4 linked regions of the Callithrix jacchus genome follow. The protein of the gene in region 3 purifies or fractionates together with the protein of the main gene of each other region. This does not show direct contact. Links are inferred from orthologs where the notes say so. Each region holds a gene or a part of one and is shown on either strand. Other genes may lie near its edges.

The links.
Region 1: the proteins of HSP90B1 (region 3) and CALR fractionate together in Homo sapiens (co-fractionation; 4 studies listed by BioGRID, with this or other methods). This does not show direct contact. The link is inferred for Callithrix jacchus from reciprocal best matches to the Homo sapiens genes HSP90B1 and CALR.
Region 2: the proteins of HSP90B1 (region 3) and OS9 purify together in Homo sapiens (affinity purification with mass spectrometry; 6 studies listed by BioGRID and IntAct, with this or other methods). This does not show direct contact. The link is inferred for Callithrix jacchus from reciprocal best matches to the Homo sapiens genes HSP90B1 and OS9.
Region 4: the proteins of HSP90B1 (region 3) and ERBB2 purify together in Homo sapiens (affinity purification with western blotting; 3 studies listed by BioGRID and IntAct, with this or other methods). This does not show direct contact. The link is inferred for Callithrix jacchus from reciprocal best matches to the Homo sapiens genes HSP90B1 and ERBB2.

Annotation. Positions count from the first base shown.
Region 1 is NC_133523.1:11,760,271-11,765,122, forward strand, and holds the start of CALR (calreticulin), read left to right. Parts: upstream 1-1,848; 5' UTR 1,849-1,919; coding exon 1,920-2,010; intron 2,011-2,370; coding exon 2,371-2,472; intron 2,473-2,658; coding exon 2,659-2,862; intron 2,863-3,320; coding exon 3,321-3,415; intron 3,416-3,513; coding exon 3,514-3,723; intron 3,724-3,808; coding exon 3,809-3,922; intron 3,923-4,018; coding exon 4,019-4,162; intron 4,163-4,852. UniProt on the Homo sapiens protein: Calcium-binding chaperone that promotes folding, oligomeric assembly and quality control in the endoplasmic reticulum (ER) via the calreticulin/calnexin cycle.
Region 2 is NC_133510.1:61,984,564-61,988,119, reverse strand, and holds the end of OS9 (protein OS-9), read left to right. Parts: intron 1-337; coding exon 338-527; intron 528-1,456; coding exon 1,457-1,621; intron 1,622-1,763; coding exon 1,764-1,876; intron 1,877-2,153; coding exon 2,154-2,279; 3' UTR 2,280-2,925; downstream 2,926-3,556. UniProt on the Homo sapiens protein: Lectin component of the HRD1 complex, which functions in endoplasmic reticulum (ER) quality control and ER-associated degradation (ERAD).
Region 3 is NC_133510.1:106,883,886-106,887,958, reverse strand, and holds part of HSP90B1 (endoplasmin), read right to left. Parts: intron 2,976-4,073; coding exon 2,864-2,975; intron 2,335-2,863; coding exon 2,215-2,334; intron 1,182-2,214; coding exon 1,065-1,181; intron 1-1,064.
Region 4 is NC_133506.1:120,167,600-120,171,672, forward strand, and holds part of ERBB2 (receptor tyrosine-protein kinase erbB-2), read left to right. Parts: intron 1-432; coding exon 433-584; exon of another isoform or gene 585-647; intron 648-1,458; coding exon 1,459-1,672; intron 1,673-2,743; coding exon 2,744-2,878; intron 2,879-3,243; coding exon 3,244-3,312; intron 3,313-3,516; coding exon 3,517-3,632; intron 3,633-3,770; coding exon 3,771-3,912; intron 3,913-4,073. UniProt on the Homo sapiens protein: Protein tyrosine kinase that is part of several cell surface receptor complexes, but that apparently needs a coreceptor for ligand binding. Essential component of a neuregulin-receptor complex, although neuregulins do not interact with it alone.

The sequences.
Region 1 (4,852 bases), on a different chromosome or scaffold from region 3:
TCTTGTTCTCCAGGCTGGAGTGCAATGGTGCAATCTCCGCTCACTGCAACCTCCACCTCCTGGGTTCAAGTGATTCTCCTGCCTTGGCCTCCTGAGTAGCTGGGATTACAGGTGTGTGCCACCACGACCGTCTAATTTTTGTATTTTTAGTGGAGATGGGGTTTTTCCATGTTGGTCAGGCTGGTCTTGAACTCCTGATCTCAGATGATCTGCCCTCCTTGGCCTCCCCAAGTGCTGGCTTTACAGACTTTGAGCCACCACGATCTCAGCTCAACGCAACCTCCGCCTCCTGGGCTCAGGCAATTCTCCTGCCTCAGCCTCCTGAGTAGCTGGGATTACAGGCACGTGTCACCATGCCCAGCTAATTTTTTGTATTTTTAGTAGAGACGGGGGTTTCACCATGTTGACCAGGGTGGTCTCGATCTCTTGACCTCGTGATCCACCCGCCTCGGCCTCCCAAAGTGCTGGGATTACACGCTTGAGCCACCGCGCCCGGCCTCTTTTTCTTTTTTTTTTAACCAAAAACACTTGCCAGATTATTCCCCCCCTTCCAACTTTGTTTTCCCTTTTAAAGAATTTGTTCCTTCCTCCCTTTTCTGACTATCTTTAGCTAGGAAGCAACCCTCCCCGCCCTCTTTCCTGGATCCCCTTCATTCCCTCCTTCCACAGTCCACTCCCGGGTTCCCAGGTCCAGGGCTTATTTGCCTAGACTTTGGAAAACCCCCAGCTCTCCTTCCTCCTTTCTGCAGCGTGGGGGCAGGGTGCTGGTGTCAGTCACGTCTCTCTAGCTTCAGAAGAAGGCACTAGACTCAGTCGAGGTCGAGGTGGGGGGGGGGGTCCTGCCCATCTCCCTAGCACCTTATCGTCCCTACCGTCTGTCTTTTTTCCCTCCCCAAACGGAACCCCCGGCCCTCTCGCCTATAGACGTTTAATTGCAAAAGCCAGGCCGTTTGTGGGAGACCACAAGACATCGACCCCCTTCATTTACCGGTTGAGAAGAGAGTAAAGGGGCTGCTGCAACCTGGGTAATAACCCTGTCCCCACCCCAGGAGTCACATCCTTAAGCCTTCCTTCCCTCTTGTCCCAGGACAGCTTTCAAAACGTTAAAAGCCTTTCGGCTGGGTAGCATCTGACCAGGGAGGGTCGTCCCCTCTGGCTGCTCAGGGGCGTCTGTCACTTCAGAAAGGTTAAGTGACTTGCCCCAGGTCGCACAGCAGCAGTCCGATAGGCTGCCAGGGCACTAGGGGCAGAAGGAGGAGAGAGTTGGCATTTTTCCCATTGGCCCGCGTGGCTGTAGCACTGGGGTGCAGCGAAGCCCCAGGGCCACAACCCCTGAGCTCTGTTCAATCCCGGGCGGAGATGGGGGAGCGGCTGTAGGGTACTGGTTCCCGAATGGCTAGAAAAGCCTTGCCCAGCCCCTCCAGGTAGAGGGAATGAGAGGGAGAGAAGTTGGGACATGGTTCCGGTCCCGCGTGGAAACACCTGCGCTCGCGCCAGTGCTTTAAACGCCCAGATGAGGAAAGACGCACGCGGGCGAGGGCGGGGTTGGGTTTAGATCTGGTCACATGACCTGGCCTGAGGGGCTCGAGGCCCCCGCCCCACCAGAGGGCGTCCCCCACAACGCGTGGTCGACTCTCATTGGTCAGCGGTGAGGCCAATAGAAATCGGCCATCTGGGAACCCAGCGTTCCGAGGCGCAGCCTAACATGGTGAACCGATAAAGATCCAATGGAAAAAGACAATCGTGAGCGCAGACCAATGATAAAGTGTCAAGGGCGGGCCCAAGGGCTTGGTCAGGTTGGTTTGAGAGGCGGATGGGTATAAAGGTGCAAGGCGGGCGGCGGCGGCCGTCCGTACTGCAGAGCCGCTGCCCCAAAGTCGTTTTAAAGGGCCAGCGCGCCGCCGCCCCCTCGGCCCGCCATGCTGCTATCCGTGCCGCTGCTGCTCGGCCTCCTCGGCCTGGCTGCCGCCGAGCCCGCCATCTATTTCAAGGAGCAGTTTCTGGACGGAGGTAACGCCTGATTTCGCCTCGAGGCTGCCCCGCCGACGCGGCTGGCCCCCATCCCGGATCTGCGTTGTTGCCCGTAATTACTGCTTTGGGGACCAACATGGTGGCCTCCAGGGCCTAGAGCCGAGGGCTATTCCTCTTTTGCGTCCCTGGGGAGCGCAGAGGCGCAGCGGCCTCCCGCAGCGGGAGTTAGGGTTCGCCTGAGGATCTCTTAAGGCACCTGAGGTGTCAAACTAGAGGTTGGGGTGGGGAGAGTCGGGGATCTCCTTCCCTGTCCCCAGCAGTTTTTGATTCTCGGCAGATGTTTGGTGGTGGGGAATCGGCACAACCGCGTTGACCTCCCCCCTCTAACCTCCCACTTAGATGGGTGGACTTCCCGCTGGATCGAATCCAAACACAAGTCAGATTTTGGCAAATTTGCCCTCAGTTCCGGCAAGTTCTACGGTGACCAGGAGAAAGATAAAGGTAAGAGCCTAGGAGTGGGTGCTCTGATCCGGGAGGACTTCCTGGCAGAAGTCCTTGTCTGCACACAGCTGGGACAGTCCCCTAGGAGGAGAGCAGGTGGAGGAAAGGGGAGTCGTTTGTATTCTCTAGGTCTTGGGTCCTCGGGGGTCAGGGCCCAACGGTGACCTCACTGCTATTCCGTTTCAGGTTTGCAGACAAGCCAGGATGCACGCTTTTATGCTCTATCGGCCAGTTTTGAGCCCTTTAGCAACAAAGGGCAGACACTAGTGGTGCAGTTCACGGTGAAACATGAGCAGAACATCGACTGTGGGGGCGGCTATGTGAAGCTGTTTCCTAGTAGTTTGGACCAGACGGACATGCACGGAGACTCAGAATACAACATCATGTTCGGTGAGGGGCTGGTTCCTGGTGCTGATCTCTGTCCCATTAGTTGGAGGGAGACTCAGACCCCATTGAGTTCCTTACATCCCAGAAAAGTGATTTTTGAGAGGATGGAAAGCATTTACTAATCATGATTTTCTTTGGAAGGAGAGCTAAAAGAATAGGTCACAGTTAGCAACAATTTATTGCCTTATCCCAGATCTAGGCTGTTAATTTAATTTGTATGATTGTATATAGTTACTTCCCAATCTTACAAATGAGGATGTTGAGTTCTAGAACGCTCATTTTTTTTCTTTAAACTTGAGGCTCCAGCCACAGTTCATTCAGGACAGCATCAAGGTCTGAGTCCCTCTTTTTAGCCTTGACAGACCAAGTTTAAGAACCAGGTTTTCCTTTTGTAAAGAGGGGAGAGGGCCTTGAAATGGTGGGTAGTCTCTGACTCTTAACTGGATGTGTTTCCCACCTAGGTCCTGACATCTGTGGCCCTGGCACCAAGAAGGTTCATGTCATCTTCAACTACAAGGGCAAGAACGTGCTGATCAACAAGGACATCCGTTGCAAGGTGTGCCTGGGGGTGGTGGTGGCAAATGATGGCTGTCATGGGAAGTTCAGAGGTCGGTCTGATTGCGGGGGGCCCCACTCACCTCCTTCCTTCTTCAGGATGATGAGTTTACACACCTGTACACACTGATTGTGCGACCGGACAATACCTACGAGGTGAAGATCGACAACAGCCAGGTGGAGTCGGGGTCCTTGGAGGACGATTGGGACTTTCTGCCACCCAAGAAGATAAAGGATCCTGCTGCTTCAAAACCGGAAGACTGGGATGAGCGGGCCAAGATCGATGATCCCACAGACTCCAAGCCTGAGGTAGGTGTTTGGGGAGGGGCTCTGCTTTCCACACTGGAGCGTGTGTAGGACAGCTGGGCCAACTCTGACCTCTTCTACACCCCAGGACTGGGACAAGCCTGAGCATATTCCTGACCCTGATGCCAAGAAGCCTGAGGACTGGGATGAAGAGATGGATGGAGAGTGGGAACCCCCAGTGATTCAGAACCCTGAGTACAAGGTGAGTTTGGGGTTCTGAGCAGGGCTGGAGCTCACAGTGGGGAGTCCACCAACCTCACTCACCCTCTGGTTCTTTTCTCCCTTATGCCTTCTGCAGGGTGAGTGGAAGCCCCGACAGATCGACAACCCAGATTACAAGGGCACTTGGATCCACCCAGAAATTGACAATCCCGAGTATTCCCCTGATCCCAATATCTATGCCTATGATAACTTTGGTGTGCTGGGCCTGGACCTCTGGCAGGTGAGACTTGGAGGGAAAAGGAGGATCCCTGGGGTACCTCGAGAGCTTACCATCACCCAGGAGGAAAGGGACAGGGTAGGATCACACCCCAGGAAGGTCTGACTCAAGATGGTACTTCTCTAAACAGTACTTCCTGGTCTGTCCTTATGGAGTCCTCACAGCAGCCCCTTTGAGGTTGTACTTTTTGTGCACCAAGTACTTCCCCTAGTACTTTTATGCAAATCAACTTCTTTAAATACCCCTAAAAAGCTAGAAGGTGGTCAGGTAACACAGAAAGTTTGGGGCTGGGCGCAGTGGCTCACCCTTGTAATCACAGTACTTTAGGAGGCTGAGGAAGGAGGATTGCTTAAGGCTAGGAGTTTGACAACTCAACCTTGCTTGGCAACATAGTGAGGCAACCTCATCTCTACACAAATTTTAAAATTAGCCAGATGTGATGCATACCTGTTATCCCAACTATCTAGGAAGAAAGAGGATCACTTGAGCCTGAGGCATTGAGGCTCCAGTGAGCCATGATTGTGTCACTGCACTCCAGCCTGGGTGATGGAGTGAGAACCTGTTTCAAAAAAAAAGCTGGCACTGAATTTTTTGGTCACTAAAATACCTTCTGTGCCCAGGACAGTGCCTGGCATGTAGTACATACCTGAAAGAGAGAGAAACAGAAACTGGTACAGAGAAGTGAAGTCAGTG
Region 2 (3,556 bases), about 45 Mb from region 3:
AGTGCACTCAAAAATGGTAGCTGTTTCTCTAATTAATCAGGACTGGTGGGGAAGGGGGACCAGAGAGAGGGTCAAGACTTAAATATCAGACTCTGGCCGGGTGCACCGGCTCAGGCCTGTAATCCCAGATCCTCAGGAGGCTGAGGCCTGTAATCCCATCTCGCTTGAACCCGGGAGGCGGAGGTTGCAGTGAGCCAAGATTGTGCCACTGCACTCCAGCCTGGGCAACAAGAACAAAACTGCGTCACAAAATAGCAGACTCTCCTACAGAGCCTGGCCTGCTGGCCACCTCCATACCCCAGACCCTTGAGTGTTTATCTTCTCTTGGGTATTCCAGACAGAGAAGGAGCTGGACCCAGATGGGCTGAAGAAGGAGTCAGAGCGGGATCGGGCAATGCTGGCTCTGACATCCACTCTCAACAAACTCATCAAAAGACTGGAGGAAAAGCAGAGTCCAGAGCTGGTGAAGAAGCACAGGAAAAAGAGGGTTGTCCCCAAAAAGCCTCCCCCATCACCCCAACCTACAGGTGAGAGCAGTCAGACAAGAAGGAGTAGCCCAGTCCATTGTTTTCATCCCTCAGCTGGTCTTGTTCTTTGAGGGGACCCTGTTCCTTGCCTTCTGAGGGTGTTCATTCTCTCCCCTCTTTCTGGAACACTGTCCTCACTTGCGCCTCCTTCGCACCACTGTCATCCCTTGGCATGCTTACCTCCTATTCATCCCTCTGGGAAGCAGCTTTTAGAGCATGTCTGCTTGTTTCCTGGTTTGCTCCTGCACAGCCAGTGCCTAGCACACTGCCTGGCACACACTGACTGATCAGTAGATAGTAACTGAATGTTTGTGAGTCTATATGCTGAAAACCACACAACTGTGAAGGATGTAGCCTGTCAACATTTAGGACTTTGCACCGAGTGAGGTCCTAGCTATCAGGGTATGAATAGGAGAGCCCAGCTGCACATGAGTCAATAGCCTGGATAGACTTTAAATTACTTCTTCTTCTTGCATCCCCTTGTGTCCATTTCATAGGGTCCTATTGGTGTGGACATCAGATATTCCAAATGGAATGTTCAGTTTCAAACCTTCCATCCCATTCTCTCTATAAACATTAAGTCCCAACATATGGAGGAAGAAACCGCACTTTTCCAACCTGCTTCTTCAAACGAAACTTAATTGATGCAGGTGGCCTAATTTTGGCTTCAGAAAACATTTGTTTTCCTATAGGTGATGGGCAGAATTATTGAGTAGGGTGGGAAGATGGAAGACTGCAATTGATGGAGGGAGCTCTACTGGGTGAATTGGATGGGGGAGGCACACAGTTTTTTGACCCCTGGCTCATATACATGTTGAGATGGAATAGCTGCCAAAGCCAACTGATGTTTTAGGGGGAGGCGACCCCCACACCCCAACCCTGGAGTCACGCCTCTGCTTTGTGTTTCCCTGTGTGTCTCCCCCTCTAAGAGGAGGATCCTGAGCACAGAGTCCGGGTCCGGGTCACCAAGCTCCGTCTCGGAGGCCCTAATCAGGATCTGACGGTCCTCGAGATGAAACGGGAAAACCCACAGCTGAAACAAATCGAGGGGCTGGTGAAGGAGCTGCTGGAGAGGGAGGGACTCACAGCTGCAGGTGGGCCCTGGAGGGCGGCTGGACCCAGCGCTGTCGGAAGGGCGAGCTGCCGGAAGCGGAGGGGCTGGGACCAGCGGGGCAGGGGGCCTGCCCTGAGGCTCCTAGCTATCTTCTCCTCTCACTGCATACTGCTCCTTTCCAGGGAAAATTGAGATCAAAATTGTCCGCCCATGGGCGGAAGGGGCTGAAGAGGGTGCACGCTGGCTGACTGATGAGGACACAAGAAACCTCAAGGAGATCTTCTTCAATATCTTGGTGAGAGGCTTCTACCCCCAGGCCTGGCCTCCAGCCCTCGCGTCCCCAGCCCGCCTGCAGTGGAGGCACAGGCCTGCCCCAGCCACGCTGTTGCTTTGTTCTTTTCCTGATCTATAAGATGAGGCTAGGGTTCCAGTGGCTCCGAGCGCTGCCACTCAGGGAGAGCCCCTCAGGACATGAGTGTTCTCACTCCCTGCCTTCCCCCAGCCACCCGGCCCTGGACTTCCCTGGGCTCAACAGCCAGCAGCTCCAGCCCACCTCTACCCTCTCCCACCAGGTGCCGGGAGCCGAAGAAGCCCAGAAAGAACGCCAGCGGCAGAAAGAGCTGGAGAGCAATTACCGCCGGGTGTGGGGCTCTCAAGGTGGGGAGGGCACAGGGGACCTGGATGAATTTGACTTCTGAGACCAACACTGCACTTGACCCTCCACAGAATCCAGAGTCTTCCTGGACTGGCCTGCCTCCTCCCCACCTCCCTACCCTGGTACCCCTGAGGGCCAAACAGCAGAGTGGAGCTGAGCTGCGGACCTCTCGGGTGACTCTGTGGGTGTGGGGGCCCTGGGTGAATGCTGTTGCCCCTGCTGGCAGCCACCTGGAGACCTCACCGGGCCTGTGATGTTTGCTCTCCTGGGCTTTCCCTCAATCCGCTTCCTCTCCTCTGTGGCTTTTCCTGTTATTGTCCCCTAATGATAGGATATTCCCTGCTCCGTACCTGGAGATTCAGTAGGATCTTTGGAGTGGAGTGGGGTAGAGAGAGCAAGGAGGGCAGGGCAGTGAGCAGGCACTGAGCAAGCAGGCCCCCACCTGCCCCTAGTGCTGTTGGGAGTCGCTTTACCCCCTTCTATTGAATTGCCTTGGGATTTCCTTCTCCTTTTCCCTGCCCACCCTGTCACACACCATTTGTCCTTCTGAGTTGAGGAGCCTTCACCTCTGTTGCTGAGAAAGTGGGAGAATGCTACCCATCACCTCCAGCACAATCCCAGCGAAAAAGGTGTGAAGCACCTACCATGTTCTTGAACAATCAGGTTTCTAAATAAAGAACTGGACCATCGATCCATCAACCTTTTTTCTGGGGTGGGGGCTCCAGCAGGGAGGAGGCTCGTGCTCTTTTCAGATCATGCTCTGGTTCTGTTCTTTGCTCCCCACTCCCCGGGTCTATAAATGGGGCTGGAGTATGCAGGATAAGACCAGGGCAGCTAAATGAAGCCTGGCCTGGCAAGGATTCAAAGAAACACTTGCTGTACTGCCGTCTTCCTTTTCTCATCTGTCCATTTCTGTTTCTTCCCTTCTTTTACACCAAGTCTTTCCCCATCCTCTACCCCTTTATACTCTGAAAGCCAAAATGTATACCACAGAGTTACCCTGTCAGGGATCTTCCTTCTGCTGCAGTCTCTCCTGCAGCATGCTCCAGGTTCCATTTGCCATCCAAACCGCTACCCACCTGTCCTTTCAACATTTCCCAAAAACACCTCCACCTTTGGCCATACCCAGAGAGAGGGCTGCTGCCCACATATGCCAGTTTCTTAGTATGCCAAGGGTACATGGGCCTGGTGTCTCCCTCTCTTCCTCACTACTAAGTGCAGCTATGGGTCCTCCCATGTGCCTTCTCCCAGTGTGGAAGACTCTGATCTTTCTTTTTCTTGGTTGAGACAGAGTCTCCTTTTGTTTGCCCAGGCTGGAGT
Region 3 (4,073 bases):
TGATCTGCCCGCCTTGGCCTCCCAAAGTGCTGGGATTACAGGCTTGAGCCACCGCGCTCGGCCACATTAATTGTATTTCTGATACAGCTGCCTTAATATAAAATTAGTTGATAGACACTAAAACTTTAGAGTTTATGGAAATAAAAGTGAAGGAAGAACCAACAGTGTTTTAAGAGTTAAAATTTAAAGGATATGGCATAGAGAAAACAACAAATACAGACACAAAATATGAAGTTTTATTTAGCTATGGGTAAGTCCACTAGCACATTCTATTACTCATACCAAATGCTGCTGGGGAAACACTGACTTGAAACAACCTTAATGCTAGTTTTGCATTTTTAATAGTTTCAAGAAGGGATCAGTAAAAGAAAAAAAAAATAGGTAGGGAAACAGGCGAAGCATCTCACAGTAAGTGTTTGATGTCATAAGCAAGCTCTTTAAAGCCACTTAACATGATTTCATGTTTTACGGGTTTTGTGGTGGAAATCACACATCTACCTATGTAGGTGGTTCTTAATCTTTTTTTGTCACACAAAATCCTTGGCAAGCTGGTGAAGCCTACAGATGCCTTCTCAAAATAATTTTTTTTTAAATCACATATTACAAAATACACAGGAATAAAAAGGAAACCAATTCTGTTTAAACAGCCACAAAACTGTTTCAAACATTCTTGATTTTGTAATGTTTCACTATTATATTAACTATGAGCTAGGACTAAATTTAATAACTGCTGCAATTTTGAAGTAGTGATGAGCGTAATAATTCAATTTAAGTAAAAATGGTGTGTTCTGGAAACAAATTTACTCTTAAATTCTCTGTTGAGATGCCAATCTCAAAGCTTCATATAAAATTTAAATGTGATTTTAATTATGATTAGGTCAATATGCCAGAAATAGATATATTATAGTTGGCCTAAAGGTCTTTTTTTTGAATTTTCTCTCTGGGAAAAAATAGGAATGAACCATCTCATATTCATGGTCACATACCATATGCAATTACAACTAACAGGATGATACTTTGTCTACTCATTAATAACCAGAAGCTAGGGAATTATAAATATTTACCTTTGAAAATGATTTGTAGAAAGCTTTGTATTCATCTTCTTCTACTTCTTTTGATGGTCTCTGCCATATTGGTTTGATATCATTCATAAGTTCCCAGTCCCACACAGTTTTTTCAACCTGAAGTTATTATGGTATTTGATTAGTCTCTCTTAGCACTTATCAAGGTTTTCCTAGCAGTAACCATGGCTTCAGATTTCAAAAGAATATATACGGAACCAGAGGCCTGGTGTGGTGGCTCACACCTGCAATTCTAGCACTTTGGGAGGTCAGGGGGCTGCTTGGGCCCAGGAGTTCAAGACCAGTCCAGGAAACATAGCAAAACCTCCATCTCTACAAAAAAATTTTTAAAAATGTTGGTGTGTGCCTGTAGTCCTAGCTACTTGGGAGGCTGAGGCAAGAGGACTGCTTAAACCTAGGAGTTCAAGGTTGAAGGGAGCTATAATTGTGCCACTGCACTCCAGACTTTGTGGCAGAGACTCTGTCTCCAGATTAAAGAAAAAAAAGGCACCAAAAGATACCTGTTATCTAGTAAGGTTTCTGCCACCTCCATGAAAAGCAAAGTATTTTTCTCAATATTTAATTCAAAAAGACAATTGTTAACTGATGAAAAACCAAGTATGTTTTGTTATTTTTAATTAGCAAAAGTACTTCTTGAAAATAGTTGTCTTGAGATTAGAAGGAAATACATATTACATATTCCTATTTCGTGACTTAAAAAAATCCAACATTTTAGAAAAATATTTCTCAACCACCACAACCAATACTTCTTACTCTGCTACCTAAGCAAACCAGAGAACTATTTTTATAGTTAATCCCTACATCATAAAAGGACAAAAGAGGACTCAGAAAGCTTTTTAATATTTAAAAATTCCAAACATATAAGCCACCAATCCTAGGCAATATATAAAAGTCAGAAAACTCTTCATAAAAACGACCTGGGTTTGACATTTAAAACTTTCTACCAGACAATGTACTCAACATACAAACAAAGGCCTTATTTTAAAAGCTGGCTCCATGGACTTAGCACCTGGAGCAAGTAGAACCTTAAGAACTGAAGCTGACCTCAAAACAGCCAGCGCATACTTGGGTTTTCCTGGTTCTGCCCTACATGTTAAATAGTATCTTACGCAGAGAGATGAAGCAGACTTACCTTTTTAGTCTTTGGTTTCTTTTCTTCTTCTTCTTCCTCTACTGCAGCTTCATCATCAGATTCTTCTTTCTCTTCTTTTGCTGCCTCTTCTTCCTCCATGGGCTCCTCAACAGTTTCAGTCTGTTGAAATAAAAGGAGAATTATGGTTAAACTCATTTTTTTAACAATCCTGTCTACAGAATATGACATAACATTACAAAAAATAGGTCTTCGTAAGAAAACCCTGAGAGTATGTATCCTCAACTAATATACCACACTTTGCCTTCATTCTTTTTTTTTTTTTTTTTCCTGAGACAGAGTCTTGCTTTGTTGCCCAGGCTGGAATGCAGTGGGGCAATCTCAGCTCACTGCAACCTCTATCTCCCGGGTTTAAGTGTTCTCCTGCCTCAGCCTCCCAAGTAGCTGGGACTATAGGCATGTGCCACCACACCCAGCTAATTTTTTTGTAGTTTTAGTAGAGGTTTTGCCATGTTGGCCAGGCTGGTCTCAAACTCCTGACACCTCAGGTGATCCATGTGCCTTGGCCTTTCAAAGTGCTGAGATTACAGGCGTGAGCCACCGTGCCCAGCCTGCTTTCATTCTTTTAGTGTTAAATATTTAAATACGTGCCAAGGTAATACATATAAGTTTTTAATCAATATAGATTTACCTTGCTGCTCCATACATAAATAGGAAAGTTTATGAACTGTGAATATTTTTTCACGAGATTTTTAATTGTATCCAATTCAAGGTAATCAGATGCTTCTTCTTTTAAGACAAGGCTGAAAGAAAAATTCGAAGTTTAGTGACATCTAACATTTAGGATATGAGATTATAAATTCACCTAAATACCATGGTAATAGCCAGCAGTTCTGTGTAATCGAAGATGTCCTAATTATTCATGTTAACTCTCCATCACCAATAAGGGTTTGTGAGCTAAAATGTTAACACATATAGAGATTCAGTAAAGAGAAGAATCTCCTCTACATTACCCCAAGTGGAGAATAACCATAGAAAATGAAAATATTCCCAACCTTCTGAATAGATTGGTTTTTTCCATTTGTCAAGGTGATAAAGCGCTGAAAAATTCTGGAAAAAAATGGAATCATGCACTCTCATAGCTTTTACTGTTATTCTAGAAACCTAACGATTATTGTAGATAACTACTCCTAATTAATGAAAACATTTTCCTTAAAAAAGCTAGAAAATTAATCTGGATTATTTATATCTCCACTATCCAAAATGGTAGCCACTGGGCACATATGACTTATTTAAATAAAATATACAGTTCAGTTCCAGTCACATTGCTACATTCCAAGTACTCAACAGTCACATGTGGCTGGTGGTCGCCAAACTAGGAAGTGCACATATAGAACATTTCCACTATTACATAAATTTCTACCGGGCAGTGTAGGGATTACAAGCATGAGCCACTGTGCTCAGCCTAAAACCTACTCTTGAGCACAATAGGTAGCCCAAAGCTTGATATTTGTGTATCCAATTAAGTATGGGGAAATGGCCTATCTGTGGTTCCCTCCCTGTCTCAAAAGGCTCAGTAGTTTAGTGGTACCTGGTCAATAAGTAGCCATGATATGATGACAAAGCCTCGTGAGTGACTAGGCTGCTGGTCTCAGGGCACATGTTCTAGTGATTTGGGGATTAAGAGTTCAGTTTTGGATCCAAGTAGAAGCTGCTAGGTAGATTATCTTATGTAGAAGCATTTAAAAGGCACTTAAACACATCAACACGGAGCCCAGCAGTGAGACCTAGACAAGGGGCTGGCAAACTATAACTGTATAGCTGGCACTCACTGGAAATTTTACTGAGACACATCTTTTTTTGGTGGGGAGGGGGAAGTGGGTCTCACTCTGTCACCCAGC
Region 4 (4,073 bases), on a different chromosome or scaffold from region 3:
CCAAGTTTGTTTGCTTGGGAGAGGGGCAGGGGGTATCCAGAAGATTCATGATTCATCATCGCCTCTCTTGGGGGATTTTTACCCCTGGCTCTGAGTTGTGCCTTTGGGACAAAGGGAGTCTTTCTTTTCCAGCCAACACCCTGTGCTGGCGGGTAAGCTCCACAGGGCTGGCACGCTGGGGCAGCCTCTGGATGCACAGGGTGGGCCCAGTCAGAAGGAGCCTCTCCCCTGAAATCCCTCTACTTCCCAAACACACAAGCTTTCTTCTGCTGTTAACCCTGCAGGTTCAAGGGATGTGGGTGGAAGGGTCCTTCAGTCAGGCCTTCTCCCTGTTTGAGGTGGCATGACCCTGGGAATGAGTTTGGATGGGGTGGCTAGATCTGAGAAGGTCCCTGGCCAGTGTCCTCTGACCCATCTGCTCCCTCCTGCCAGTGTGCACCGGCACGGACATGAAGCTGCGGCTCCCTGCCAGTCCTGAGACCCACCTGGACATGCTCCGCCACCTCTACCAGGGCTGCCAGGTGGTGCAGGGTAACCTGGAACTCACCTACCTGCCCGCCAATGCCAGCCTCTCCTTCCTGCAGGTGAGGCCCATGGGCAACCCAGCCAGGCCCTGCCTCCAGCTGGGCTGAGCCCTCTGTTTACAGGTGGGTGGCAGAAGACGGTGCCCTGCCCTTTATTTCCTCTCTTGTTGTTTCTCAACCAGGAAGTCCTTTCCAGCGTCCAACCCCCATTCGTTTTACTGCAGAATCAGTTGACTCTCTATAATGTGGCTGGCCGAGGACATCTCTGGATGGGATGCATCTGGGTTTCTGCTATAGCTTGTGCTCTCTTGTCAGCATGATCATGTCCCCCATCCACCTGCCCCAGCCACTGTCCCGCTCCCATCCAGAGCAGAAAGGGCCGGTGAGAAAGGTGGATTACAGGCCCAGTTCTGCCACTGACAAGCCCTATGAATGTGGCCTACACCCGCTTCGCTTCACTGGGTCTCAGTGTCCCTATCTGTTTATTGGGAGCAATAGGTACCCATTGTGAAGCTCGAAAGAGAAATGTCTGTGAAAACGTTATGAGCAGGAGAGAGAGTGTGGAAACCAGCCTGCTGGGTCATGTCCACGGACCCTGGAGTGGGGTCACCTGCTTGGTTTGTCAAATTGTAGACGCCATCCCATCCAGGCCTTTGCTTTCACTGAGGAAGAAACTAAGATGCAGAGAGGGTGGGGCACCTGCTCAGAGTTTACAAAGTGCCCCCCACCATTATCTTTCTTGATCATGTAAGAATCTGGTGAGACAAGGCGGGACATCACCTTTATCTCCATTTTATCATTTTATATATGAGGGAACAGGACTGCTCCGTGGCTGGGGGCCTTGCCCAAGATCCCTAAGTACTGGGGAACCTCAGGGAGGCCTTGGGGGGTAGTAGTGTTCCTGCTTCAGCCCCACCCTACTGCTCCCTACCAGGATATACAGGAGGTGCAGGGCTACGTGCTCATCGCCCACAACCAAGTGAGACAGGTCCCGCTGCAGAGGCTGCGGATTGTACGAGGCACCCAGCTCTTTGAGGACAACTATGCCCTGGCTGTGCTAGACAACGGAGACCCTCTGGACAATACCACCCCTGTCACAGGGGCCTCCCCAGGAGGCCTGCGGGAGCTGCAGCTTCGAAGCCTCACAGGTGGCCTTCACCATCATTGAAACTTTCTCTTGGTTATTCAGAGCTGACCAGAGCCACAGCTGACCATGGGGAGGCTTTGTGTGGATTAGAAATGGTGTCCCCTCTGCTGGGCACGGTGGCTCACGCCTGCAATCCCAACACTTTGGGAGGTGAGGTGGGTGGATCACCTTAGGTCAGGAGTTTGAGACCAGCCTGACCAACATGGAGAAACCCTGTCTTTACTAGAAATACAAAAGTTGCCTAGTGTGGTGGCGCGTGCCTATAATCCCAGCTACTTGGGAGGCTGGGGCAAGAGAATCCCTTGAACCCAGGAGGTGGAGGTTGGTTGCGGTGAGCTGAGATCATGCCATTGCACTCCAGCCTGGGCAACAAGAGTGAAACTCCATCTTGGGGGAAAAAAAAAAAAGAAATGGTGTCCCTCTAGGCAGATGCAGGCAGAGCCCAGGAAGATGCCCTCAGAAGATTGGGAAAAGATTCCCTGTCTTCCTAGGAAGGTGCAGCTTGCATCAGCACACATCATTCAATCATAGAATGCAGGCTGGGTTTTTGCCCCGACTTGGCTGAGTGAAGCGTACAGTGAACAACCCATGTCACTATTGGGTGGTCTGGAGCCGACTGTCCCCAGAGTCTGGGTGCCATGTGCTTTGCCTGCAGGGTCCCATTTCAGTCAAGCTGCAGTCCTGTCAGGAAAGAATCAGTGATTCTCATTCTACAGATGAGATAAGGGACAAAAGTTACATAGCGAGTGAGTGATGGGGCTGGGTTTCAGATTCCACAGTCTGTTAACCGCCAAGCAGCATGCCCAGAGTAGAGGTGAGAGGGGAGGAGAAAGCTGTGGTCCACGTCGGCATCTGGACCTAGCATGGACAACTCACTTCTCCCTGGTCTTGCTTTGTTCATGTGGTGGAGGTGGTATTGGTGGGGCTTGAAGATGCCGAAGATCTCTTCTCTCCTCCCTGGGAAATCAGGGGGTTTAAAAGGCCTGCTCCTGTCTTAGAAGGCATGAGGGCCCCAAGGGAGGCAGAAGGTGACCGAAGGGGAAAGGATCCCTGATCATTGCTCACCCCACAGAGATCTTGAAGGGAGGGGTCTGGATCCAGCGGAACCCCCAGCTCTGCTACCAGGACATGGTTTTGTGGAAGGACATCTTCCACAAGAACAACCAGCTGGCTCTCACACTGATAGACACCAACCGCTCTCGGGCCTGTAAGCCATGCTCCCCCTGCCACTCCTTCTCTCGGACAGCCTGACCCCAGCCCCAGACTCCTGACTTACAACCCAGAGCCCGCCCGCCACTGCCCCAGCTGCCTCCACCACTCATTTCCTCCCTCTCCGTCCCTCCTGCCATCTCTCTGTGCCTCTTCATCTCTGGCTCTGGGGTTCCCTGTCCTGTCTCCCTCTGCCTCTAGGTGGTGCCTCTGGTTTGGGGGCCTCTCTGTCTGTTGGGGTCCCTCCCTTGCTGTGCAGTTGGCCTTGTGGCCTCTGCTGCTGTTTGTGTGTCTCTCCGTTATTAACCTGTCCTCTTGCTGTTAGACATCTCTCTCACTGCCTCTCTCTGGTTCTGTCCTCAGGCCACCCCTGCTCTCCGGCGTGTAAGGGCTCCCGCTGCTGGGGAGAGAGTTCTGAGGACTGTCAGAGCCGTGAGTCTCAGGGAGGCCTGGAGTCAAGGGAGGGGAGGGCCAGGGCAGGGTGAAATACAGGTGTCATACAGGTGACAAGGGAGGGGTGGGATAACAGGTTTGGGATGTCTTCCCTGGGGTAGGTAGTATCCCTAGAAGGTGATGCTGATGAGGGTCTAGTGTCCAGGGTGCTATTCAGCCCTCATCCTTCCCTTTACCCAACAGTGACACGCACTGTCTGTGCCGGTGGCTGTGCCCGCTGCAAGGGCCCGCTGCCCACTGACTGCTGCCATGAGCAGTGTGCTGCCGGCTGCACGGGCCCCAAGCACTCTGACTGCCTGGTATGTGCCTCTGCCTTGTGCCTACTGTGCCCTACTCCCCAGGATGCAAGGGATGGGCACCCTGCCTGGTACTGCCCTATTGCCCCTGGTACACGAGGGAAAAACAGCGCAGTGACAACCAGCCACCTGTCCCCCCAGGCCTGCCTCCACTTCAACCACAGTGGCATCTGTGAGCTGCACTGCCCAGCCCTGGTCACCTACAACACAGACACCTTTGAGTCCATGCCCAACCCTGAGGGCCGGTATACATTTGGCGCCAGCTGTGTGACTGCCTGTCCCTGTGAGTGCCAGGGAGAAACACGGCTTTCATCGTTTTGGTGGGGAGGTTGGTTTCTGTAAATGGGAGCATATGGGGAGCACTGTCTGCACCTTGCTTTGGGAGTCGGTCATGACAGTTCCTGTCGAACTGCCTTGTTCTTTCAACAGTTGTGGAGCAGGTGA